Rhinolophus ferrumequinum: one gene and its partners. The protein of the gene in region 2 interacts with the protein of the main gene of each other region in a biochemical or structural test. Links are inferred from orthologs where the notes say so. Each region holds a gene or a part of one and is shown on either strand. Other genes may lie near its edges.

Region 1 (7,912 bases), on a different chromosome or scaffold from region 2:
TGTTTTTCCAGGATGCATCAGCTCCAAGTCAAGTCGTTGTTTTCAATCTAATTGTAGAGGGTGCAGCTCACTGGCCCATGTAGGAATCGAACCGGCAACCTTGGCGTTTTGAGCACTGCGCAACTAAGCCAACCGGTCGCCCCATCTGTGGTTTTCTAAAAGCTGCCCTCTTTGTTTTTGAACATCTTTCAGAATCATGCCTGTCCTCCTCAGTCCCTCAAAGACCACCATGACTCTCCTTGCCCCAATCTATTCTCCCCCACAAACTTTCATCTCAGTAACTGACATACCATCCAAACATCTGTTTAGCTCAAAACTCAGAAGCCATCTTTGATTCTTCTCTGTCCCTCATGCCCACATTCAAATCATCAGCAAATTCTACTGGCTGTAATTTAATATGTCCTAAATCTGTTCACTTCTATCTCTATGGCCACTACCTTAGTCCAAACAACTTGGCCTCCTCCTCCAGTTACGCTGTTTTTGCTCCTATACTAGCCCTCCTAAACTTAATTCTTCACACAGCAGTGGCAGTGGTAATGTAAAAATTTTAATTCAGATCATTTCCTTTCTTTCCTTAAAATTCTCCAATGATCCAAACTTCCTCCCATAGCCTATAAGGCCCTGAATGTCCTAACCCCTCCACCTCTTTAGACTTATTTCCTACCATGGTCAGAAACACTCCCTGGTACTTGAGGGTCTTTTCACCTGTCTGATCGGCTTAGGACACTGTTCTCTCAGACATGTGCACGAGCTCCTTCTCATCTTTCAAATTTCAGCTCCTCAGAGGCCTACCCTGATGACCCAATCTAAAGGTGCTACCTGTTCCTTTATGTTATTAGCATGTACTTACACAATTCAAAATTAATCTCATTTTAATTCTTTCTTTCTCCCCCTTACTAGAATATAAATTTCATGAACAGGGACCTTATGTCTTGTGTACCATTGTATTTCTGCACCTGGCATGATGCTTAGTAAATGAATGAAAGAACAAAGAGATCTTCCTTATGAGTCCTCCACATGTTTCTTCACCATTCACTCTGTTTCCTATGGTTCTCTACCCAGAGAGGTTGTCCCACACAAAATTATCCAACAGTTTAAAATATGTCCAGGAATGATTTTAGTCCTTTTGCTCTTGCTGCAGGTGCTTTAATTCTTCCTATCCTCCCCTCCCCACACCAAGACTCCCAGTGCTACAAAGCTATTCAGAAATAATAATCCACAGCAATTGAATCTGAAGAATGAGTTAACTTCTTGACCCCTAAATTGTGTGTGGGTGTGGAGTACATGAGTAGGGCTCAGATTAAGTAATTATGTGAAAGCCCAAACCCTATACAAAATATAGTTACTATTACTCAGGTGTTAGTCTCTTCTGAAACTTCCCAGACGTATATGATTTTGGAAAGGGCTGCACAGAGAAAGGTCAAGGCTCAGGCTAAAAGAATGAAGTGAGATTTGGGGGTGGAGGCGTCTTCCTGGTGTTCTCCAAATCACAGCATACAAGTAACTATAACCTTCTGATCCACAAACATTGAAGGTTGGACCTGAATCCCTCTGACTTGAGGAACCAATGCTCCAGGATGGTACTAAATAATCCACATCTTGGCACTTGATCGTACAGCTTGCCTGGATGTTCTCAGTCTCCTCCTCTGTATAAAATCCTCTTTCTTCCATTCAAACCATAAACTCTTTGAAGGCAGAAGCCATTATTTGGCTCTCTCATAGCACACTAAGCAACCTAAGTACTCGGTAAATACCTGGGAGACTAAATTGAGATTACCCAGTTTATAGGAAAAAATCTAATTAAATATACATAACAGTCAAGACTTTATTTTCCATACAAATTATTTCCAAAACCCAAATGGTTCCCTGTCACCACAAGCTGGTCCCTAATCCAGCTCTCTTCAACTCTCTCTCCTTCCTTTTCCATCACCCTCTCTAGAATCACCACCCCCGTCCTAGCGGCCCCCAAAACAAACTGCTTCAATTTTCTGCTTTAATATTTTTTTTTTGCAGTTATGACAGCATTAGCAAACAATATAAGCTGCTCCTGAAAAGGCGAGCTCTTATGTTTCTTAATTCCTACCCCCGACCCAGTTCATCGGGTGACACTCGGCAGTACCGAGACTCACAGGATAAATGTGGCCCACCCCCCCGCCCCGAGCCAATTTTCCTCAAGAATTGGAAAGGAGGCGTTTTTAAAGTTTGAGTGTTTTAAGGGACATGACCCCACACTCGCAATTGTTTTCAAAATAAATTCGAGAAAGTTCACGCTCTTGGCGCAAGTTGGGGCAACTCCGCCTCACAGTTCCGCCGCCGGGGCTGGGCCCCGCAGGGCTGCGTGCGACCCAAAATGGGGAGGTCCCATCCTCTCCCCAAACCAGTCGCCTCCTTCCCCTCGAAACCCCAAGTCTACCTCACATCCTTCTACGACCCCCTCTCGCTGTGCCCCTCCACCCGGCTCCTTCCCTCAACCCAGACTCCCGCCCTAGCTCGCCGCTCAGGCCTAGGCCGCTGTCAAAGAGGCCATCTTTTCTCCCAAACGGTCCCTACTTCCGCCAAGCACCCCCCACCTAACCCTTCCCCTCCACCACCAACCGTTCGCACCGGACCTTCTCACCCAAAGACCTTCACATCTCGCTCCTCTTCCCCGCTCCCACCTCCGCTTTTCCATTTATCCGTCCGGCCCGGACGCCTTGGATCCCTCCAGGCCCGGCCTCCTCTCACTCCCCTCCCTCAAGAGGACTCCCGCTCACCTCGTTTCCATCCTCCAGCAGCAGCCTCTCGGCGTTCATCCCCACCCGCCGCAAGCACCAGATCCGGCCACCGGCGCGGTCCCCCATAACCAAGGAGCCGGGCTCCCCCATAGCCCACTCGACCCTGGTTCTCGGTCAGTACAGAGCCAGACCTCCATCCGGGTACCCGCCGCCTTCCAGCTTCCCTGACGGCGCCATTCCTAAACAACAGACAGAAGTAATCGCTACGCGCTCGCGATCGGTGCGAACACTCGCTGGGGCTCCGCGCCCATCCCGCCCCAGGCCAGCAAGCCGGAATCACTGCGCCTGCGCGAGAGAAAGCCTGCGGCCGGGCTGGCGCTTGCGAAGAGGGAGCTACGTAACCTCAGGTGGTGTGCAGGCACCTAGCCCAGGTGGGGTGGGGGTCGGGCGAGGGATTCTTAATTCTCACGTCTGACTCTCCTCGCCTTCTCTAGAACCACCGCCCCAGTCTTTGCCGCCTCAAAAACCATCTTTTAAACAACGTTAAAGTTGCGGTAATTTTTGAATAGTAAATCTTTTCCTAAATAGCATCTATTTTGCATGACCTCCTTTTACTACTGGATTAGGGGAAAAAAAAGAGGAGAAGAAGAAACGTATACTAGGCAAATCTATCGAGGCAGAAATCAGTTACTTGGGGCTAGGTGCGGGAACAGGGATGGAATGCAAACAGACTTGAGAGAATTTTGGAAGGTGATAGAAATGTTCTAAAACTGGATTGTGGTGATGATTGCACAATTGTGTACATTTACTAAAAAGTCATTGAAGCACACATATACTTATAGTGGATGAATTTTATGGTATGTAAATTATCCTCAATAAAGCTGTTAATTTTTAAAAAAAGCTCAAAAAATAAAGAGATGGAAAAAAAGATATATATGGGGAAAAAAGAAAAGAAAAAACCCTCAAACTCCTTCTTTTGATTCCCCAATATAGTGTGATAGCTGCTCCCTGTAGTGAGTTCCTCAGTGATAACTCAACGCCCTTTTATGTCTTTTCAATTTTTCAATACGTAGTTAACAATTTTCTTAAATTTTGTCAGGAGAAAATACATACAATAAGTGAATCATAAAAACTACCATAGTAAATGGCTAACATTTATCGAGAGCTAAGTGCTAAGTATTGGGCTAAGCTCCCTACATGCTTTATCTTATTTGCTCCTCACTAACAATATAATTATAAAGGTTACAATTGTAATTTCTACTTTAGGGGTGATGTGAAAAGAGACACAGAAAGGTTTGATAATCTTCCCAAAGTAACAAAGGGTGGAGTAGGATGCTGGTTGAGGACTGTTTCCAGAACCTAATTTCCTAATCATGGTTACAACTCCAGCCTGGAGCGTTTTAAATGTGTGGCACTGTCAGATGAAGAATTGTGGCCTGTGATGTCACAAAGGGTCAGGAAACTTAGTGGGTGCCATAACTGCACTCTCACACAGATGATTCCCTAAGCTTGGATTTGTATCTGTTGGTGCCTGTACCCCACCTTAGTGCTCTGTCCCAGGAACAGCAAGTGCACCCAGAGGCCATCCTGACATTTACCTGGCATGTCTCCTTAGGCTCTTCTTGGCTGTGATAGTTTCTTAGACTTTTCTTGTTTTCGATGACCTTGGCAGTTTTGAGGAGTAGTGGCCAGGTATTTTGTAGAATGTCACTCAACTGGGATGTCTCTTATGTTTTTCTCGTAATTAGACTATGGCTATAGGTTTTGAGAAGGAAGACTACAGAGGTAAAATGCCATTCTCGTCAGATCATGTTAAGGGTAAAAGTTATCAACGCCAGTTATTGCTGTTGATGTTGATCTTGATCACGTGGCTTAGGTAGTGTAGTTACTCTTTACCCACTTTCCCCTACTCTGCTCTTTGGAGTGAAGTCATTATGCACAGCCCACATTTAAGGAGTGAGCAGTTACGCCTTACTTCCTTAAGGGCAGGTTATCCATGTAAGTTATTTGAAATTCTTCTACACAGGAGATTTGTCTTTTCTCCCCCATTTATTTATTGAATTATTTATTTATAGCAGTATGGACTCATAGATACTTACTTTATACTTTGCGTTATAATCCAATACCACTTTATTTTTTAATCAAATTGTTCCTACTTTAGCTACATTGTCCCTTTGACATACATACTCCCATCATTATGTTTTATTGAGCACTTCCTTACTTTCTGGCACAAGATCCTCTAAACCTAGAATCAGCCATTTTCCCAAGGATCCCTGGTTCCTTTTATTAGAAAATGGTATCAGAAACCAAGATCTGGGTACTAGGTGTGCTTGTTGCCGCTGGGATGTCATTACTTGTAGGCTCTCAGCTGACAGATCTAGGAAAAATATGTGTGAATACTAACCCCTTTATGTCCACATATCTATGAATATTTATGTGTGTATGCATGTATATTTTATGTATGTATGTAATAATATAAATACATATGCATATGAGCATAACAATCTTTCCATCATAGGGGTTCCAGAAAGAGGAGAAAGAAAGCAAAGGATTACTCGTAAATATACACAACTCCCCATTTCCATCTTTAATCTAAATGTGTGCATACTGATTTCTTATAACTCTAATGTATTGTCACCTGGCACCTGGATCATTCTAGTCATCCCCCTTTGCTTGTCTGTAATCCTCCACTCCAAACGTGAGAAACCTGGCTCCCACCATCGGCTATCCATTTACTTAATTATCATTTCCAGTATGTGTGCACAGGGGCTTCAGAATTGTTAACCCATACACCTGTGGGCAACAACTTTATCAACTAGAGTTAGACTACGTATGTGCAGGTATTTTGCCTTTAGTCTTACAGAATTCAATTACAGAGTTACTTAGGTCAGCACCCTTTCCCCCCACCCTCTTCAGAGAGGTTATTTTCTAGTTAGATTCTTTAGTCAAAGCCTGCATTCTATCTGAGATCCCTTGACCTCTTAGATGATTTTTTAAAATTTATGTACATTAAGGTTCACTCTTTCTAATGTAAGGTTCTATGAGTTTTGGCAAATGCATAGTGTCACACATTATACTATCATAGAGAATAATTTTAAGGCCTCTCTCCCACCCTCCCACACCTTGCTTGTTTTATTTAACAATATATCCTGGAATCAGTCCCTAGCCATATATACATGTATTCCTCCTTGCTCTTTATAGTTGTGTATTACTCCATGGTGAAGATGTACCATTGTTTATTCAACCAGTTCTTTGTTGATGTATAGTTTGAGTCTTTCCAGTCTTTCGTTATCACAAACAGCCTTACAGTGAATTAGTGGGGACCATTTTTGAGCACCTGTTACATGCTTTTATATATTATCTTACTTAATTCTCAGTTCCATCCTGCAAGATATCCCTATTAACCTATGAGGAACCTAGGTTGTCCAAGGTCTCCTTACCATTAGCTTCTTCTTCTTTTTTTTTAAATTTTACTGGGGAATAAAAGGGAACAGTGTGTTTCCCAGGGCCCATCAGCTCCAAGTTGTCCTTCAATCTAGTTGTTGAGGGCGTAGCTCAGCTCCAAGTCCAGTCGCCATTTTCAATCTTAGTTGCAGGGGGCGCAGCCCACCATCCCATGTGGGAATTGAACCGGCAACCTTGTTGTTAAGAGCTCACATTCTAACCAACTGAGCCATCTGGCTGCCCACCATTAGCTTCTTGAGGGTTGTGTCTTGTTTTCCATTGTATTCCTGACATTTTTATTGAACAAATGAATATAACTCAACTAGTAAATGGCAGTGCAGGGAACTAAAGCCAAGACTGTAAGCCTGGACTTATCTAGCCCCTAAGGCAGCACTCATTACCGTCTTTCAGTACTCTCTAAGGTGGTATGGCCATATCCCAGAGAGTACACAAGATGATCCATTTTCTTGTGGAAAGAATGTATCAGGATGTCTAATTAGGTTTTTATCCCATTCTTTTAAATATGTCACTTTTGTGAATATTTTGTACTTACATAAAAGAACAACATAGAGGATAGTATGTATAGACTTTATATGAATAAATAAATAAATATGCATATATATTGGGCTGTGCTCAGATTTTGTTTTGTTGCTAAGAGTACATGATCAAAACAGTTTGGAGACACTGCCTTCTAAGATTTGGGGATTTTATTAACTCTATTGCCCCTATATATTCCCTTATAACAGTGATTCTCAACTGGGGGTGATTTTGCCCCCCAGAGGATATTTGGCAATGCCTGGGGATGTTTTTGATTATGACAGAGGCAAGGGTACTACTGGCATCTAGTGAATAAAAGGCAGGGATGCTGCAAAACATTCTACAAATTACAAGATCGCCCCCACCATGGAATTATCTAGTCCAAAATGTCAGTAGCAGTAAGGTTGAGAAACCTTGCCTTACAGTCATCTCAAGAAGGAAAACTGGAAGGGAAGGGGAGCAGAATGTAGAAAAGCAAGTAGGGTGTTCTCTATAGCTGTGGATCTGACACATGTCTCGTTACATACACTCAAGTTGAGGAATGTTGGAGTTGAAAATGGAGAAGCTTGGGAAGGGGAAAAGGAAAATGACAAGAGGAGGAAGCACATGGCAAGATGAAAAGGAAAGGGGGAGAGAAAGGTGGAAAGAAAGTGTGGCAGATTATTTTCCAAGATGAATACAACAAGATCACCATGCCACGTGCTCTTACAAGGTGACCTTGACACTCCTCACGTTGCAAGATGGTGTCTATACTTCCTCCCCTTGAATCTAGGTGGGCATGTGACTCCAGGAGAAGTGATGCTATGCCATTAAAGGTGTTACAGCTTCCACCTGGCCTTTGGGGGACGCTCTTGGAACCCAGTCAGCTTCCTCCTCGTGTCATTTTCCTTTTCCCCTTCCCCAAGCTTCTCCATTTTCAACTCTAACATTCCTCAACTTGAGTATATGTAATGAGACGTATGTCAGATCCACAGCTATAGAGAACACCCTACTTGCTTTTCTACATTCTGCTCCCCTTCCCTTCCAATTTTCCTTCTTGAGATGACTGTAAGGAAGTGGAGAGAACACATGAAGAGGATGTTCTGACAGCTCCAACGGAGGTCCCAACAGACATCCAGCATCAACTGCCAGACACGGGAATGAAGGTTCCTCTAGACAATACCAGGCCTCTGAGCATGAGTCACCCCGGCCTTTTGCCTCTTTCCAGCTGAGGTCCC
Region 2 (4,837 bases):
TGCATGTCAATTATACCTCAATAAAATTGTTTTTTACAAAAGTAGAAGTGGGTATGGTAGAGAAATGAGTTAAGAGGTGTCATTTGAGCTGGAAGATATGGGCTTGGCTTGAGAAAAAGCCCTGGCCAAGACAGAAGGAAGATGCAGTGCAGTCCAGTACCGACCTAGGAAAGAAAACGTAGGTTTAGGGGAAGGTAAAGAGACCATTTTAACTAGAGCAGAAAATTAAAAAAAAAAAAAAAAAAGAGGGCCTTGCATATTAAGCTTTTTCAAATCATGCATTGGACTGCAGTTTCAACAGTTACTCCCTAAACAATCCTGGACAAGTTATTTTCCTGGACAAGTTATTTACCTTCTCCGAGAGTCAGTTTCCTTTCTCTATAAAGTAAGGATGATAACAATCACCTATCTTAAATAGTGGCTGTTTAAGATTAAATTAGGCAATGCATGTAAATCACTTGGCAGAGACCAGGTAAATAGTTCGGTGCTCAATAAGTAGAAGGAATTATAACAATTATTGACCCCAACATCAGAAAATGTATACAGATGTTTGAGCAGGAGATAAAAGTGATCCAAGAGGTTATTTAGGAGGAGTCATCTTACCATTACTAATTAACTCCCTTCTAGAGCTGAAATACCAAACTCTATCACCTCTAACCCCTTCCTCACTCTAACTTCACTGGTAGTAAACACCATGCCCTGGAGGAGCGCACAACCAGCAACTAATGTTACCTCCTGTTAGCGAAGGGATTCCAGCTGGTAAGTCCCACCACTGAGGACAAACTAAATTGCGTTGAGCTATGGCCTCTGGAATGGAGAACCAGAGCACCCCCCAATCCCATTCTCAAGGCCACCACCAGCATAGGTATATATTCAGGGTGCATTCTGAAGAGAATAAAACCAGGTGACATTTATTTAATTTTAAACCACAGATATTCCCCCCTAGAATCCAGGGAGACACCCAGGATTTCAGTTACCTGATTTTCTCAAGTCCCTTAAACACTGAACTAGGAATTTATCCTCTGGAGAGTTTCAGAGAAGAAGGCTCTCTGTGCCAGTTTCATCATCTATAAAATGGGAGATAATAATGGTAACTACTTTATGAGGTTCTTATGAGGATTAAATGAGTCAGAATGTGTAAAGGGCCTAGAACATTATGTGGCCCATCGTAAGTGCTCTGTAGGCTAAAATTTTGTAAGGACTTTATTTCTTCCATCTTGTTTACAATGCTTATTTGTGATCATGTATTTTTCAATTACTAAGCATTAAGTGTCCTCATAACAGGCTAGCCCAATGCACCTCTGAGCTACAAGTAAGTTTGGTTAATTGGTGGCTTATAAATATTCATCCTCCAAGCTTTCCCACAGACCCAGTAGTGGTTGGATCTGCTAATTTCATTTAGTTAGAAATATATTGCAGATAAAAGAATTTTAAATTAACTGGTAACTTTATTAATAACCATATCCTCTACACACATCTGAAAACACACATGTAGGAAACAAGATTTATTCAGTCTATGATAATGTCTGGAGTCCATTTGGATTCATGAAACCCTTACAGTGGGCTCCAGGACCCCTTAGGCAAAAGCAGAGTTGAGTACCTGATCAGACCATCAGTGTCTTTATCAGCAAAATCAAGGTTTAGACAGAGATTCAACATTCTGTAATTACACAAAATAAAACTAAATTGCAACTGTCCTCAGTTCTCGGGAGACAGAAGTGGACAATGTTAGCTGCATGACCAGTGGACCGATCACTTTGCTTCTCTCAACCTCATTTGTAAAAGGTAGCATATTAACCTTGCATATCATACAGATTGTCTGTCTTACGTGGTCTTCGAAAAACAAATGAGATGGCTAAGTGCAAATTAAAGCTCATCTCAGTGTGGAACAGAGGATGGGTGCAGGGAGTGGGGCAGAAAAGAAGGGAAAAGGGCCTTTCCAGTGACCAACTCTCAATGTACTGAAAACCCAAGAGATTACGCTAAACTGAGAAGCGTTAGAGTAAAAGGAAGACCTACCATTGCCACGTCCTCTTTCCAGCAAAAAAGAATCTTAACATGGGCCTCCTCTCAGGTGTTGCCCCGAGGTGACCATGGACGACAGCCTTGGGGAAGGAGCTCCAAAAACATTTCCATTTTCATGTCTTCACATACATCTAATGGAAATGAACCGCACCCATCCACCCATCCATGGAAGTGATTAGAAGAAAAGGGTGCGATAAAAAAATTTAACAAATATTAACATCAGTAAGTATTTAAGTGTCCACTATGTGCCAGGTACTGATTGGCTTTGGCGATATAGCCAAAAAACAGACCAGCAAAGTCTCTGTTAAGGGCATAAGAAAAAACATAAACAAAATAAACGAAAGAGAAAATTTCTGACGGCTGCTATGAGGAAGATAAAACAGTGAAGGACCAGGACAGGCAGGAATGAGGAGCGCAAATTCCTGAGTGGATAACTTGGGAAGGTCTGAGAGGTTAAATTTGAACCCAGACCTAAATGACCAGTGCCTTTAAGTGACCCGAGTCCAGAACCTTTTGAGAAAATTAAAAGCAAAAATGAAACACAAGAACGAGAAACAATAGGGATTTCAAAGCCGCAAAGTGAGCAGCAGAAACCAGAATCTATTAATTCCGAGGGGCGGCGCGGGATTTTGAATATTCACGTTGTCCAATCAGAGAAGGGCTGGGACCTTGGAAGCGCAGACTCCGCCGGAAGTGCTCGGAATCGCTGGTGTCCAAAGGAGGCCACATCGCAGGACACAACGGATCAGCACCCAAGCAGCTGCCGAATTCTCGGGAGAAACCTTCCTGGCTGTGACGCAGTGTCCGCGAGACCCGGGCTTAGTTTTGTCCTGGGACACTTTCTTAAATGAACATGACCGAAATCACTTCGTTTAAAACGCCAATAAAATATACCCAACAGAGCCACCAAGACGTCTGGGGCCGGAGTAGGAGCAGATTCCCGATACTAATTTAGACCTGATTCAGGAAAAGCAAAAAGCACAGGAACGGGTTAAAGACGTGCCCTACATTCAAGAGCCAAGTCACGTAGGCGGAACCTCAAAGCAGGAAAGCTTAAAAACGTATGTGTTCCGCGATCTTTATCCTAACATAACTTATGAAAAGATGAACGCAGAGAGCTCTTTTCTGAGTAGGTGGGTGGCTCTGAAAAGAGCCTTTGGAGTCAAGCGGCTGGCCACTCATGGGAGCGCCGCGTCCCGGCAGGGACTCACTTGGAGCTGGTGTACTTGGTGACGGCCTTGGTGCCCTCGGACACGGCGTGCTTGGCCAGCTCCCCGGGCAGCAGCAGGCGCACGGCCGTCTGGATCTCCCGGGACGTGATGGTGGAGCGCTTGTTGTAATGCGCCAGGCGGGAGGCCTCGCCGGCGATGCGCTCGAAGATGTCGTTGACGAAAGAATTCATGATACCCATGGCCTTAGACGAGATACCGGTGTCGGGATGCACCTGCTTCAGCACCTTGTACACGTAGATGGAGTAGCTCTCCTTGCGGCTGCGCTTGCGCTTTTTGCCATCCTTCTTCTGGGCTTTGGTGACTGCCTTCTTCGAACCCTTCTTAGGCGCGGGAGCGGATTTTGCCGGCTCAGGCATTATCAAACACACAACACAGCTTGGTAAAGAAAAGGAATGAGATAATGGGCGGGCATGATCCTTTTATAACCACTGTATGCAAATTAGGACTCCAGAAGTCTTTCGTTTCTATTGGGCTACGCAGGGACCTGGCGTTTCCAGTAGTAGCTACGTAACGACACTGACTCTTGACCCAATTGGTCGTTTCTGGAGCCAATTTAGAACCAATGAAAAACTCATTCCTGACCCCTCCCCTAGGAAAGCTTATAAAGGCTTTCGAAGTGCTGATTTTTCAGTCCTGTTTCGGTGCGAGGTTCTGAGATTTAGAACAGTTGGTTTTGTGTGTAGTCATGTCTGGTCGTGGAAAACAAGGAGGCAAAGCTCGCGCTAAGGCCAAGTCGCGATCGTCCCGGGCTGGTCTCCAGTTTCCGGTGGGGCGAGTGCACCGTCTGCTGCGCAAGGGTAACTATGCGGAACGGGTGGGGGCTGGCGCGCCCGTCTACATGGCGGCCGTGCTCGAGTACCTGACCGCGGAGATCCTGGAGCTGGCGGGGAACGCCGCCCGAGACAACAAGAAGACGCGCATCATCCCTCGTCACCTGCAGCTGGCCATCCGCAACGACGAGGAACTGAACAAGCTGCTGGGCAAAGTCACCATCGCCCAGGGCGGCGTTCTGCCCAACATTCAGGCAGTTCTATTACCAAAGAAGACCGAGAGCCACAAAGCCAAAAGCAAATAAAATGTGACAAAGTAAACCAAAGATCAAAGGCTCTTTTTAGAGCCACCCAAGTTTTCAAAAAAAGAGCTAATGCGCTGTTGTGGTCAGCCCCTCATTTGACACTCGAGTGGCTCTTAAAAGAGCCTTTTGGGGGGGGGAGGACGGGTGTCAACCATCTGAATTACTTGTTCTTGCCAGGTTTGTGACTCTCCGTTTTCTTAGGCAACAAAACTGCCTGGATGTTAGGCAAGACACCTCCCTGGGCGATAGTGACACCCCCGAGTAATTTGTTGAGTTCTTCGTCATTTCTCACGGCTAGTTGTAAGTGGCGAGGGATGATGCGAGTCTTCTTGTTGTCTCGGGCGGCGTTGCCCGCCAGTTCCAGGATCTCCGCGGTCAGGTATTCAAGCACGGCCGCCAGGTACACGGGGGCACCGGCCCCCACCCGCTCCGCGTAGTTGCCTTTGCGCAGCAGGCGGTGCACTCGCCCCACCGGGAACTGCAGGCCTGCGCGTGACGAGCGCGA
Region 3 (7,275 bases), on a different chromosome or scaffold from region 2:
GTCTGTCCCACACTCTGTCCAACCAAGGGACCAGCCTGGGCCAGACACCGGGGCACTGGACGTGGATCAAAGAAACAGATCCTGTTCTCAGGAACTGGGAGCCTAAGAACAGAGACAACTTCTGCCTTCAGATTAGGGGGAGGCACAGTCCTCCTCCTTCTGGGAGACCCTCATCGAAGGCAGAAGGGCAGTACAAAATCCAAGACAGAGACCAGAGGCCCAGTCTGCCAGTGCACAGATGAGGGAGACAGGAGCTGAACTGGCACCGTCCTGTACTATGTGGCCAGACAGGGCACCAAGTCACGCTCGTCCTCAGCGCCAAAATAGGGCCCAGAATCCACCCCTTCCTGCCACCTTATTCCCATCTGGGGGCAGAAGGGGCACTGGAGGCCCTGGATTAGTCAGTAAAAGCTTCTTGAACTGGACAGCTATGAGCACGTTTAAAATGAGAAGAAGGTGTGGCAGAACAGAGAAAAATCTTACTGAAAGAACTAGGAGTGGAAACTGGTTTTACCTCAAGCGTAAACTCTGGTCTTTTGAAGTGTTGTGGTAGAAAGGATTCTGAGGCTGTGTCCAGGCCCCATGGAAACAATTAGTAACGTCTACCAGGGGTGTGGACAGGGCTAGTGTTAGCACTCAGGCCATGTACCTGCCATCCCCAGCCTAATACACACAAAGGCAAATGCTAGCAAGTTGTGTCTGGCCCATGGGCACATCTGCCAGGTAGATGCCCAGATCCCAGAAGGCTCATGGAGGGAGAGGAAGGACCAATCCAGGAAGCCTTCCTAGAAAAAAGGGGACATCAGGGAGGATGTGAACTCGGGGCTAAATCACGATAGACCAGAAAGAGCCTTACTTGGGGAAGTGGGTGAGGATAAGGGTTCTCTTCTCGGGCACCAGCTTGTCCTTCTCCACCCGGAACTTCTCTAGCAGTTGCCGCCGGGTAACAGTGAAGATGGAGCGGAGAAGGCTTCGCCCAAAGACATGAGTGGTCTCGTAGCGGGGGAGGCTATCGCAGCTCTGGGGCACGTGGCAGTAACAGAGCCATCTGCAGGGAGTGCGGAAGTGGCAAGTGAGAGTGGAAACCACCGAACTCAGGCTGGGCCTACAAGCTCCCCCCAGGCTGGCTGGGCCTACCTGGTGTAATTGACCTTGTAGGTTGCCACGTCCTCCGCCTGAGACCTCTGCCGAAATTGGGCAGGCGTCTCAAGCTTCCAGTAGTTAAGGCAGAGCAGGAACATCTTTGAGAGCTCAAACATCGTCTGCCGTTCCCGAGGAGCCAGGTGACTGAACTTGTACTGCACAAAGTTTAGCACACCCTGAGAAGGGGTGGGCAGGAGACAAAACCAGGAAGGAGGTGTGAGCAGCCAGCAGGGGCTTCTTATCCCAAAATAGAGGCTTCCTAAGGGCAGCGGCAAGGCTCTCCTCTCATTCTGAAGCTCTATGTGAAGAGAAACTGTGCCCCTCCCACACACACCCTGAGGTTGGCACAACACATGTTCCCCTCTTGGAACCTCTCCCGTTCTCAGTATGATGAGGATGGAGAACACAGGCTCCCCATTCCTCCAAATGCCCCCAACTCTCTTGCCCCCTTCTTCATCCCACCTGCTCAATATTAGGCTTCTCAAATGGGGGGCTGCCCAGAGACCCCTCCACTACGGGCCGGGTCATCTGCAGGATGCATTTCCGCAGGAGCTGGAGGAAGAGGAAGAGGGAGGCGTAGAGGTCAGCAGAGCTCTGAGATGCAGACTTCCCAGCCTCAATTCCTTTGCTCGCTCACTCTCCTGCGGAGAAAGCTCACCTTGAAGAGGTAGAAATAGACCTGCTTAGTGTCTGTGTCCTCCTCCTTGTGAACAGACATGAACAGATTCTCCACGTCCACCACCATCCCCAGCAGACGGTTAATCTCATCCTCTGACACATTCTCCAAGTGGGACACGTGGTCAGCTACAAGAACAGGTGGTAGAATTGGGAAGAATAGACAGAAGACATCAACAGGGCTTTCTGGCCCTCTTCATCGCCAGCTATGATACACTCTCAGTCTCTTCAACCACTGTGACCAGCACTAAGACTGACTGCTCCTGTGTGTCAGCCCTTGGGTGACCCCTTGTTTCTTCTGAATTGGCAGATTTCCTTTCTCCTCCCTGGGGAGATACACATTCCCAACCCAATTCTTCCTTAGAAGGCATCTTAAGAGATGAAGCTCTGCGGCACTGAAGTCGTCCTCTCCAAGCAGCACCAGGCACTTGCCTCTTCCCCGCCACCAGCTCCAAGGCACTATCTGCCTTACCCAAGGGGTGCTCACAGCTGCGGCACAGCTCACTCAGGTTGGCAGCTGGCTGCTGCAGGTCCATGCGGGGTGCAGTGGGGGGCTTGGGGTTTTTCCAGCCATTACACTTGCAGGTTTCATTGGCCTGGAGGCAGAAGGATCAGTCAATAAACTTGTACCCCAGGGACGTGGAGCCGCTTCCGAGCCAGGGCTCCCATTGCCACCCGAGCCCTAGGATGTCCCAAGCCCCGCCCTCTCACCCCAGGCCCCGCCCCCACCTTGCAAGCCGAGAAGACCCCTAGCTTCTCAAGCTTCTTGGCACGCGGCAGCCCCCGGACTTGCGCCTTCCTCTGGCTGGCGCGCTGCTGCTGGCTCAGGCCAGGTCGAGCCGGATCCCCCCCGGTCCCAGTACCCCCACTTCCTACCCCGGGCCCCCCCGTCCCGGTGCTCCCGGCTGGGACTGCAGCTGGGGCGGGGGCTAGTGCCGGAGTGGGAGCCGGAGTCGGCGCCGAAGCCGGGCTGGGGGTGGGAGTCGGAGTTGGGGCAGGGGCTGGAGACTGAAGGGGACGGGGCTGCGCGGCCGGGGCCGGGGTGGAGGCCTGGGAAGGTTCCGCCATGGCCTCCCCCGCAGCGGAGCGCGGCGCAGCGCTCCCAGCCCTAGGGCCGCATGGGCAACCGGCGCTCAGTGCGCAGGCGTCGCTGCTTCGGAGCATTATGGGAGTTGTAGTCTTCCACCGCTGCTCCTTTTGCCTCCAGCTTCCAGACTTTTCTATCCTGTCTCTTGGTCCCAGACAGCCAAGAGAAGCCCAAGCCAGCACCCCAGATTGAACCCCTCTTCATTTTCAATCTCTCTTGAAGGCTTCCAGGATAGTCAAGATTGCTGTCCTCTTGGGGATAAGGAGAAGCATCCCAGAAAACAGGCTTCTGGTTGGGGGACTTCCCTCCCAAGACCCGATGGTGGACGTGCAGACCTAGCGTCTGGGGTCGAGTTGGCTTCCTGGTACATCTCCCTCCCCCCTCCATCCTGTTCCTGTCCCACATGTCTTCAGAGACAGAGTTGCAGCTACGGAGGAGATTCAGCAGCAACAATTCTAGTTCTTGATATGTGAAGTGGTTACACACGTGTATTTCTCTTTGGAATACTTCAACTGTACCCTTTTGTGTGCTTTTCTGTACGTATGTTATACTTCCACAAAAAGGGCTTATTATAAAGCAGCACCAGAGGCATGGCTGTGGTCACGAAGAAGGCTGCCAAGGAGGGTATGAAGTAGAAGCAGACAAGGGCAGAAGCCTTTCCCTACGTTTGGTAACGTCTCTTCCCCAATACCATCGGTACCTTGAGGGTTGGACCGGCGTCTTCATCTTTGTGATCCCAGAACCCAGCTGAGCCTGCCGCACAGTAGGCCCAGCATGGATAAATGAGGGAAGCCAGGAAGACTGTGTCCACCTCCCAGTCCCCAATGTGTCACAGGTTTGTGCCTGGTCAGAGAAAGGCAGGACATTCCGAGAATGGATGATCCAGTGGTCACATTCCAGTGGCTCTGTCCAAGGGACAATCTTCTTGCCCCTAGGATACCCAGTTGGGCTCCAGGCCGGCCATGGGGAGGGTCCCGAGAAGGGGCAGGATCCAGGATAAAAGCAGTAGGGGGCGCTCCAGGGTGGCTGACAACCTGACCTATGGATGTAGGACATGCGTAGCTGACCCCATACTGCCTAAGTGAAGGGAGCCCCACTGAACAGAGCTGAGCCGCGAGGAGTGGGAGTGGAGCCAAGCCAGAGTAGAGCCGCGCGTGGCGCAGGAGGGTCCCTCCTCTCCTGTGTCCTGCGTAGAGCACTACACTTGGGCCTCGCGCCCTTGAACAGCAGTTGCTCACTTGGATGCAGCGGGTCAGTAGCAGTCTTCCCAAAGGGAACCAGGTGATGTCGCGGTCCCCCAGCGTAGCCCTCGCCGAACAGAACCGAGTGGCCGTACTGCCGGTGCAGCTGCTCAGGGAAGACGTGGCAGCTGCGTGGGACGATATCCAGGTGGAGAATGGTTTCCGGATGAAGATGGATGCCCACGGCTTCACCCCAGAGGAGCTGGTGGTGCGAGTGGACGGCCAGTGCCTGATGGTGACGGGACAGCGGCAAACGGAGGGCCACAACCCGGATGGGGGGTGCTACTGCATGACAGAGAAGATGCAGCAGCAAATGCAACTACCATCATACCTGGATCCTGCAGCCATGACCTGCTGTCTGACCCCCTCGGGCCAGCTGTGTGTCCGTGGCCAGTGCCAGGCGCTGCCTTCCCCTAGAGCCCTAACAAGTCCATCTTCGAGACTCAGGAGCCCTGGCTCTAAGAAGGGTTCCAACCTAGCCTGACCCGGTAAACCACCACCCTAGTGAGCAGCTGCCTTGGCGTCTGTGGTCTTTTATCAGGGTTGGGGTCAGAGGTGGGGGTATAACGAAGGTAGAGGGAGGCAAGAAAGGCACCTCAAGGTGGTGGTCCACCAAGAATTAGGCCTTTGTGGCCCTGGTGGGAGCTGGGGGTGGGGGTTGGAGGTGTGTTGTCCTACTCAGCTCAGCTCACTGCTTGGACCAATATCCTCAACCTTTGGCAGATGAGAGCAGCAGCGCCAGCAGGGAGCAGCAGAGGGCCGGGAGGGCCAGAGTGTCACCTGGTTCCAGAACCGGCAGAGGGCTCCCCAGAGACCAGGGAGCAGATGGCTTAGACCTGGTGTGAAGCTGCTGTCTGGGCCTGACCATCGCTCAGTCCAAAGCTCCAGAGGTCATAGGTGTTTCTTCCTCTTCAGGGAAGAGGGGAAGAGGACCCAGTCCCTCACAGGCCTGGTACAGAGTAACCAAAGACCCCAGAGTTTTTTTTGGTGTTTCAGAGACCAATTATTTTCAAACCCAGACTGCAAATCACCCCAATGTAATCTGGATGGGGTGGGGGAGAGGCAAATGTAGGACCCTCTTCAAACTCGGTGAGATTCAGTTCCAAGTCACTCTTACCCCAACCCCATGCAGTAGCACCGGTAACCAAGGGCCTCTTTCTCTTGGTTACCATGAGCACCAGCATCTCCTCACTTGGGTGGGCGGGGCTTTTGTTTAACAAAATTCAGTGGTTCATTGTAAATTAACCTCAAAGTAAGCCAGAGAGGATATGGTCTGATAAGCTCTGCCAGAGAAAGACAAGCGAGACAAGCGGAGGTCGATCGATCGGCTGACTATATTGACAAGATACTGATTGGTTACATGTTGAAGAAAACATACAATACAAAATACAGAAAAAGTTGGTTCCATCCCCTCCCACTACCCCCCTTACCCACCCACCCCCAAATACTCATCATCGTGATTTGGTCAGAACAGGGCTCAGAGCCAGAGGTCGGTCAGGGTGACCAAGGACGAGGAGGGTGGGGTGGGTTGTGGGCAGTGGGTTCGTGGCTGTCACAATAATGCTGTGGTTTTTCTCCCATCTGTGAATCAGGGGTAGGAGGGTGGGGGTGGGGGGCTGCAGCCTGATGCCAGGCAGCTGAAGGGAGAGCTGCCTCTCCCTTCCCTAGCCCCAGGGCCTGCCCCACCACCCAGAACCAAGCCCACCCCAAACACGGTAAGGATGTGAAGGCTCTTGCTGACCCTGCTAATCAGCAAGAGGAAAAGAGGGTAGTTGCTCCCACCCCTGCCTCCCCATATACACGGGTGGGAGGAACAGGGGCGGTGGCTACTACCAGCAAAGGGAGAGTGGGAGAGCTGTAGAAAGGGCAGGAAGTGGGAAGAGCAGAAGATCATATATATTAAAAAAGTGACTTAAGACTTAAAATTGAATTAGTATTTGTACAGAAAGGTGCAGGTGGAATAACTCACTCCGGCCTATGATCAAAATTATATGGTGAAATCATGGTGGACCCCTCCCCCTGCCCCCGCAGTGGTGGCCCGAGGCGTTAAGTGCGATTGGTTAGAGTGGATTCCAGTCGGGTCATTCAGGCGGAGGAGGTGGGGGCAGTGGGTGGGCAAGGGGGCTCAGTTGCTGCAGCACTGGCTCCGGCTGGCTGGGTTGTTCTCCTGGAGGTCCACACCTCGGTTCCGGCCTGGGGCACCAGCTGCGTTCTGGGGCTCGTTCTTGGGGAGCTTCTTAGCTGTTTGGGAGAGGAGGGAGAAAATGTTTGTGGGGGTAGGCCAATACTGTTTCCCAAGTCCACTTGAGTAGAATCTGGCCTTTACCACCCAATCAGTAATAATGAACATACTGAGGGCTTCACTTCCATGTGTCAGGTGCATTCTGAGTGTTTCAGGAAACTGAGGCAGAGAGAGGTTCAATGACTTGCTCAAACCCAGAGTTAGTAAGTGGTAGAGCTAGGACTCAAACCCAGGCAGGATGACTCCAGAGCCAAATGGCCTAAAAAAAAATCCTAAGAAGTGGGTAGGATGGTGACACAGGGTTTTAGATGGGTGGCAAGCTAAGAGGTCAGGAAATGAAATGTTGAGACTTTGGCCCAGGCTTTAGAAACTTCTGGAGTGAACTATCTATCTCTGAGAGTCAGATGAAGAAGAAAATGATTTTATCACAATATTAAAAATGGTGAAAGATCTGGTGGTGAAGGGACCTACTACGGAGCAGCAGGCAGGTTCTACGCCCCAATGTGGGGACGGGAGGAGAGGCAGCTCACCTATTGCCATGAAAATCTCATTCACGTTCATTGCGGTCTTTGCTGATGTCTCCATGAACAGCAAACTGTTGTCGTCTGCATAGGCTTGTGCTTCCTGATTTGGATAGAGGTGAGAAAGTGGGTGGGAGGGAAGTGTTGACAGTTGGTAGGGGCTGGGGCCCAGGATAAAAAAAAATCTTCCCTGATCACAGTGCCTTATACACAATAGCAACATTGTGCAGGGGCTTTTCAGGCTGCTAGCACTCCTGCTCTGGGTTCCTCTGAGACATCTGGCCCCATACCCCCCACTCAGGTACAGCACCTCTCAGCTCACAAACACTGGCAGATGTTTTACTCAGGTTTCCCTATGTCCATTCT
Region 4 (6,947 bases), on a different chromosome or scaffold from region 2:
TGACCTTGGACTTCCATGCTCCAGAACTGTAAGAAAAGAAATTTCTGTTGTTGAAGCCACCCAGTCTGTGGTATTCTGTTACAGCAGCCCAAGCAGTCTAATATAGGGTCCCACCCCTCTGACACATTTTCTTTCTTTTGGGTTGATCATTCTCTCTGGAGAAGACTCTCTCAAACTCTTGCCTGGGAGGTATAAGCCAGCCACTGGTGTTCTCAGAGCGGAAGGAGAAATGCACTGGGGTGAACCTGTTCAGTGTACGTATAGACTTTGAATTAGTGTCCTAATATTTAGCTCAGCATGCCTGTCCTTAGCCTGCTCTCTCCCAGTCCAAAGACCCTCAGCTATAGTCTCTCCAGAAGATAAACCTCCAGTCTCTTCCAGGGTTGGAAGATAGGGTGATCTAACTTCTTGCTACACAGACTTTCAAACAATATTCTTATTTTTAGCATTGTTTCACCCACTTTCAGAATTAAGTGGTGCTTCAAATTTCTAAGTCTTTCAGTGGTCTGCACATGAATCAGCTTGATTCTGGGTTGCTCTGCTGCTGGCTTAGGTTTCAGCACTCTCTAATTGCTATGTCAGTTACTTCTCATCCATTTGCTTTCCATCTTCCAAAATTTTGGTGCTGTCATTCCCACTCCTAGTCTATCTTACTTCTTCTTCTTTCCCGCCCCCCCTTTATTGTCAGGAGGTAGTCAATATGCCAAATTTAACTGAAAGCTAGAGCTTAGGTTTTAATGCCCATATGGGAACATATGACCAGACCTTGGGTCCAAGAAACATGAATTGAAACTGAGATCCCTACATACAGCCAAGGTTTTCAAAGGAATGTAACATCAGTGAAAAAACAGACTAGAGAAAAACTCACTCACCATCAGAGGGAAATGACAAGGAAGATTTTAACCTTGACTCTGAGTAGGAAAAAGAACTCTCCCTTAAGAATTTAGAGACAAATGCCACACAATTGATTTAATACTATTAGGGAACCCCAAAGCCAAGAAACTGACATAGAAATTGGTCCTGAGTATATGATACTCCTAGAGTGCCTGGTCGGAGTTTATGGTGTTTCTAGAGTGCCAGACCTTACAGAAGCACATGAAAAACTATTTTGAAGGTACATGCTCTTAAGACAGGCCTCTCAAGAGTCCCACAGCTAACGTTAAGTGAAAATGATCTCAAAATTCATAATTACAAAGCACAAAGGAAACAGTAATTGAAATGAAGATTCGCGCACACACACACAAAAAGTAAGATTATATTCCCAAGATCTCTGATGAACACTACTGAAAAAGCATATTTAAAAGTATTAAAGATATAAAACAAATACTTAGAACCATAAATAAATAATAAGACATTATGAAAGTACAGGAATGTTTGAAAGTGAACTGAATATAATTTCTAGAAATCAGAAATGAAGTCAATGAAAATAAAAACTCTAGATAGGGCCGGCCGGTGGCTCAGGCAGTTAGAGCTCCGTGCTCCTAGCTCCGTGCTCCTCAATTCCCACATGGGCCAGTGGGCTCTCAACCACAAGGCTGCCAGTTCAATTCCTCGACTCCCACAAGGGATGGTGGGCAGCGCCCCTGCAACTAAAATTGAACACGGCACCTTGAGCTGAGCTGCCGCTGAGCTCCTGGATGGCTCAGTTGGTTGGAGCACTCCCTCTCAACCACAAGGTTGCAGGTTTGACTCTTGCAGGAGATGGTGGGCTGCGCCCCCTGCAACTAGCAACCGCAGCTGGACCTGGAGCTGAGCTGTTCCCTCCACAACTAAGACTGAAAGGACAACAACTTGACTTGGAAAAAAAAAGTCCTGGAAGTACATACTGTTCCCCAATAAAGTCCTGTTCCCCTTCCCCAATAAAATCTTTTAAAAAAAGAAAAAGAAACTCAGTAGATAGTTCAATATCAGGCAAAAAGAGAATTTGCACACTAGAGGATATATCCAGAATGTAGCACAGTTAAGTCAGGAAAAATGAAAAAGAGATGAAAAGTCCTGGAGAATACAGAAAAGGAAGTCAAACAGAACTTCCAGAAGGAAAAAAGAGAGAGAATGTAAGAAAGGTAATATTTGAAGAACTAATGGCTCGAAGAGTTACTTAACCATATACCCGAGTCCACAAATCAAATGTCATCAAATACCAAAGAATCTATATCATATAGATGGTGTTTTCTGCCCACAGTACGATACAGTGAGAAATCAGTAATATAACAAAGCCACACATATTTGAAAATTTTAAAACACATTACATGGGCCAAAGAAATCATAATAAAATTAGAAAATATTTAGAAATGAGAGATAATGAAAATACTATATACCACAATTTCCAGAATGTGTTTAAAGCAGTATATAAATGTATTGCTTTAATGAATCTGTGAGTCTCAAATCACAGATTTGACCTCTGGGTCCCAGGCCACCCAGCAATTTGAAAGAAATGCAATTGTTAAGCCTCTACCCAAAACATACTGAATCAGAAATTCGGAAGGTGGGGTCAGAAATCTGTATTTTATCAAGGCTTCCCAGTGATTCTGATGCATGCTCAAGTTTGAGAAGCACTGCCTTAGATGTACATACTGAAAAAAAGAGAAAATTTAATAGCAAACATCCAACTCGAGAATTTAGAAAAAGAACTTGCAAATCAATCCAAAAGCAATAGAAGGAAGAAAATAATAATGTTAAGAGCAGAAAATTTCTTTACAATCTACTTTACTGACTTTAATTCTATGTTAGGGGCCTTAGAGAGGTGTTATCTTTGCGTCTAGGTTGGAACAACCCCAGTTTTCCTCCAGGTTGACTCTGACTAGGGAGTCCATCAACGCAAGGAAGCTGGGCAAAAAAGAAAGTAACACATAGAAGAACATTTCAAGATAATCTTATTCTAGGTATCTACACAGATATATGCATAGAATCCTAAGAAAGCATTAAAAATGATTTTCTTTGGGGAGAGCAATTTGGGGTAAGGGGGGATTTTTTATTTTTCCTTTAAAAATATTCCTATTTGGTTTGAATTTAGAATCTTATATTACTTTTCATTTTAAAAGTGATAATAAGGCTTATTTGGACTATGAGGTTATGGGCAATTTTCATTTCCTTAAAAAATACTTGGTTAATATTATAGTATTAACAACAATAACAGAAACATGTCCCAAACCTGGACTGACTCAGAATTTTTTTTTCCCCCTAATGTAATTCACAGTTTCCTTCCGAGAATAAATTAGCATGCCTGATAAAAATATGTCAGGAATTTCCTGATAAATTCTAAGGGAATTGAAGACTTGTTCTAAGAAATCCACTCATCCAACTGTCAGTCAAGACTGAGCCTAATTATCTCTAAACAAACATAATTTTCTTTTGTATCTAATCTAAGGATTATCTATTTCTGTAAAACGTTCCTATCAAGAATACAACTTAGAATCGGTTTGCTAGACTCCTTTCCTTTGCAGCAAGATTTGTAATAAATTTTGATAAGTGGTAATAACCAAATTGTTCAGAAATGTTTTCTTTAATAGCAATTAAATATGTTTTAAAACCTTCACAAACCAGGGTAATGTTCACCTTGATGATGAGTCTAAAGGATGACGGGATGATGAATGACAGGGATCTAGAACTATAGGAGTAGAATGGAATTCATTCAATTATCCGAGAAGTATTTGAGTGCCTACCATATACCATATACGAGGCTTTGAAAAATACTCCAGTGTCCACCACGTGCCAGGCACTGCCCTAGAATCTGGGGCTACAAAAATGAACAAATGGGGTTTTGGGGAATAAAACTACAGTTCCCACAATACCTTGCTCTTCCGCCTTTTCCCAGGTGGTGGCTTCTTTCCATTATTCTCGTCCCAGGATTCTATAATAGAAAAGCCCCGCCCGCTCATCGACCCTTGCCCGTTCTCTCGTTAGGAGATGGACTACAACTCACACAAGGCCTTCGTGGGCGTAGCCTGGAAGGGCTCCGCTGCTTCCTGGCTGTGCCGCGGCGGACTACAGTTCCCAGAAAACTTTGCTTCCCCTCTTGGGTGTTATTGCCGCTTTCCCGGTGCGGGACACGGTAGCAGCGAGCGAGTGCCAGGCCTGTGGTGCTCCGTGTCCTTCCCCGGGGCAGGGACAAGGCAGTGACTTGACTCTTCTTGGGCGCTGAGCCGGGGAGGGAGCGCAAGGGGCCGCCGTCCCTCGCTGGCCGGCTTACCTCCCGCTACTTACTCTCCCGGCTTCTCCACCCGCCGCCGCCTGGACGATTCCGGACCGACTGCCTGGGGCAGAGGAGGCGATATCGGTCGCCGGGGCTGTGGCGAGGCCGCGGCCCTTGGGGCGGCGGTAGCGGCGTCAGCGCTGGGGAGGAGGAGGAGGGAAGATGGCGTCGGAGCTGGAGCCGGAGGTTCCGGCCATCGACCGGAGTTTGCTGGAATGTTCGGCTGAGGAGACCGCGGGGGTGAGTGCTGGGACCCGGGCAGGGACGTCTGTCCCCTGCAGGCCGAGCCCCGTGGGAGGAAACGACTCCTGGAAATCCTGGAGCGGCCCCGGCTCTCACTTGGGGTAACCACTGCGCGGGGCTCCCCGGCCTCCCCTGCTGGGGAGCAGCCGGGGGAGGCCACCGATCCTTCCCCATCTTCCCCTCTTTATCCTCGGCTAGCCCGCAGCTTGCTCTGTGCACCAGCCACCTTTACATTCCTTGTCTGCCCAGGAGAACCAACAGCTCTTCCATTATCCCACTTTCCCCCCACAGTCCCCTTAAGTCCCCAACACAGGGCTTTTGCCCTGTATGCCGGGTCCTGGAATAGGGCAGGGAAAGGCACTTCCTGGTGTTTGGGGTACAGCCGTCCTCCTTTATCTTTGTGATGCCTATTCCTGAGATAAGCGGAGCCTGGGCTCCTCCACCGAAACATGCTGCCTTCACCAAGCCCCTACTTTGTTTCCGGGACGGCCCTGAGCATCAAAGGATGCAGGCGACACAGTTGTCCCTCGTCCCCCTCGTCCGTGCGTGTGGACGCCGGTTCGCTCAGGCGACAGCACTGATGAATGTGCGGAAAGCCGTGTCTCGACTGAGGGGAAGAAAGTAGTGGAGGCTGGGAGAGCCAAAATATCATTCTTCTAGGAGTTGGGGGTCGTTGGGTGGAGAACAAACGTTATATAACTTGGGGAGAGCAGCTTTCACCAAATATTACAGAAGTTAGTAATGTGAGGTTTGGTCACAGCATAGCGGGAGCAGTTATGCTCCAAACTTAAACCTTTCCAACCCAGTATTGGACTGAAACTGTAACATGAACGTGCTTGTGTAAGGCACAGAGTTGTACAATGATTACTTGAATAAACTCGATGGCATCTGCCTTCAAGAACTGGGATCAGCCATTGGAACAGATTGTCCCGAATGATTATGAATGGACCAAAACAACTTCGGCCCCTCCTCTAAAGCCTTGGATTTAAAAAGCTACTAGGAAGGGAGTGACCTTTGAACATAAGTCAACAATTTGAATGTTATGAACAAAATTTTAGTGGGGCACTGTGGAGCTAGTGAGAAGTTATTTTGGGTGAATTGATGAGGACACTAAAGTCAGAGTGGAATAAGTGACAGGAGAGGTGAAAAGCCCTTGCTTGTTTTGTTTAAACCAACTTGTTTAGTCTAGGTCTGTTTTCATTTACTTGCTGCTTAATATTGCAATAACCCAAGGCTTTTCAGTCCCCACCAGCCTTTCATTTATCAGAGATTTGGAAAAGAAAATGAAAGCAGTGTTACAAGTAAACAGTAAAATGGTAATCAGGATTTTCTCTATCCCTGTGGCCCCCTATTAAGATCCTTATTGAGATCCAATCTGTGATTTACCTCCAAGTAATTTTTTTTTTTTTACTTCCATCGAATTTTGTGAGTGTTGGCCCAGTGATACAGGCTATGCACTCTTATTTTCCCAATTCTAAAAGTGCAAACTACCAACCAAGTGATTCAAGTTGCAATTTGTTGAGGTTCCTGATGAGATCTGTGGCAGAGACCAATCAATGCTCCTAGTTCTTGTGCAGTGAAATTCTCAAGCAGATGCAGCAAGGGAAATGCAATAAAAATTTATTAACTTGGACCTAATTTGAGTTTGTGAGGAGGTACGTTTTACTTTTGCTGTTTACTTTTAAATGGTTTTCTGAACAAAAAGATGAAAAAAAAATGTTTAGTCTGAAGGCTAACAAAATTCCTTAAAGAAGATTGAAAACTAATATTAAAACGTAAGGTTCTTCCAGCTACATAACCCGGCCTTTCTTTGTGAAGGGTTTATTGTCTGTATTTAGTTAAAACAGCGTAACACTTAAAACGATTCTTTTAGCCTAGGCTCCAGGATGGCTCTTTATCACAAATTAAAATGAATGAATAAAGTTTTCTCAGGTTAGAAGTAAATTCTAGAGAGGGTAAACGAGTAAAGAAAGCAGCTATTGCAGCCTTTAGACCTCTGTTACTGGTAGTTTGTTGGGATCACATCTATTTAAAATTACTTAATAAGCACTAGTGTCATTTTCCCCACACTTTGTTTATACACTGCTTCTCTTCTATTATGAGGAAGAAAGACTTTTAACTAGTATGCCTCACAGATAAAAGTGTTCTCATCAATAACTAAGTTTAGGATATTAAAGTGGCCCTCCCTTCTCAGTTTTCTCTTTTTCTTGGTAGAATTGATTCCACAAGTATGACTTTCCCAACACTTCTCAAGTCTACGTTGCATGCTCCCATGGATTTGATTATAATGTGTTCCAGTGGATGATTAGGATTTAAGAAGTTAATATATCGTTTTTCCCCGAGTATTAAAGAAATACATATTCTTATAGAAGTTTTATGTAGGTTTGTATCTATTGGTTATTTTTTTGCTTTAAAATGTTTGAATTTTATATGTAATTCAAATACACAATTATCTCCATAGATTTTCCAATTCAGGACATTTCTTGTAAATTTCACTTAACCAGATTTTCAA

Evidence for each region. The genes of interacting proteins can lie anywhere in the genome.
Region 1: of the proteins of histone H2A type 2-C (region 2) and RNF8, one has a biochemical effect on the other in vitro, tested with the Homo sapiens proteins (2 studies listed by BioGRID). The link is inferred for Rhinolophus ferrumequinum from reciprocal best matches to the Homo sapiens genes H2AC20 and RNF8.
Region 3: of the proteins of histone H2A type 2-C (region 2) and KAT2A, one has a biochemical effect on the other in vitro, tested with the Homo sapiens proteins (2 studies listed by BioGRID). The link is inferred for Rhinolophus ferrumequinum from reciprocal best matches to the Homo sapiens genes H2AC20 and KAT2A.
Region 4: the proteins of histone H2A type 2-C (region 2) and UBR2 form a complex in vitro, tested with the Homo sapiens proteins (2 studies listed by BioGRID, with this or other methods). The link is inferred for Rhinolophus ferrumequinum from reciprocal best matches to the Homo sapiens genes H2AC20 and UBR2.

What each region holds. Positions count from the first base shown.
Region 1 is NC_046286.1:7,412,187-7,420,098, reverse strand, and holds the start of RNF8 (E3 ubiquitin-protein ligase RNF8), read right to left. Parts: upstream 3,007-7,912; 5' UTR 2,865-3,006; coding exon 2,754-2,864; intron 1-2,753. UniProt on the Homo sapiens protein: E3 ubiquitin-protein ligase that plays a key role in DNA damage signaling via 2 distinct roles: by mediating the 'Lys-63'-linked ubiquitination of histones H2A and H2AX and promoting the recruitment of DNA repair proteins at double-strand breaks (DSBs) sites, and by catalyzing 'Lys-48'-linked ubiquitination to remove target proteins from DNA damage sites.
Region 2 is NC_046305.1:50,348,010-50,352,846, forward strand, and holds histone H2A type 2-C, read left to right. Parts: upstream 1-3,906; 5' UTR 3,907-3,942; coding exon 3,943-4,332; 3' UTR 4,333-4,333; downstream 4,334-4,837. Other genes in the region: histone H2B type 2-E, read right to left, coding at 3,233-3,613; histone H2A type 2-B, read right to left, coding at 4,493-4,837. UniProt on the Homo sapiens protein: Core component of nucleosome. Nucleosomes wrap and compact DNA into chromatin, limiting DNA accessibility to the cellular machineries which require DNA as a template.
Region 3 is NC_046304.1:37,969,331-37,976,605, forward strand, and holds the start of KAT2A (histone acetyltransferase KAT2A), read right to left. Parts: upstream 3,007-7,275; 5' UTR 2,983-3,006; coding exon 2,548-2,982; intron 2,415-2,547; coding exon 2,291-2,414; intron 1,948-2,290; coding exon 1,802-1,947; intron 1,696-1,801; coding exon 1,606-1,695; intron 1,320-1,605; coding exon 1,138-1,319; intron 1,049-1,137; coding exon 857-1,048; intron 1-856. Other genes in the region: HSPB9 (heat shock protein beta-9), read left to right, coding at 4,148-4,630; RAB5C (ras-related protein Rab-5C), read right to left, coding at 6,272-6,387, 6,919-7,012. UniProt on the Homo sapiens protein: Protein lysine acyltransferase that can act as a acetyltransferase, glutaryltransferase, succinyltransferase or malonyltransferase, depending on the context.
Region 4 is NC_046286.1:12,147,202-12,154,148, forward strand, and holds the start of UBR2 (E3 ubiquitin-protein ligase UBR2), read left to right. Parts: upstream 1-3,941; 5' UTR 3,942-4,354; coding exon 4,355-4,432; intron 4,433-6,947. UniProt on the Homo sapiens protein: E3 ubiquitin-protein ligase which is a component of the N-end rule pathway.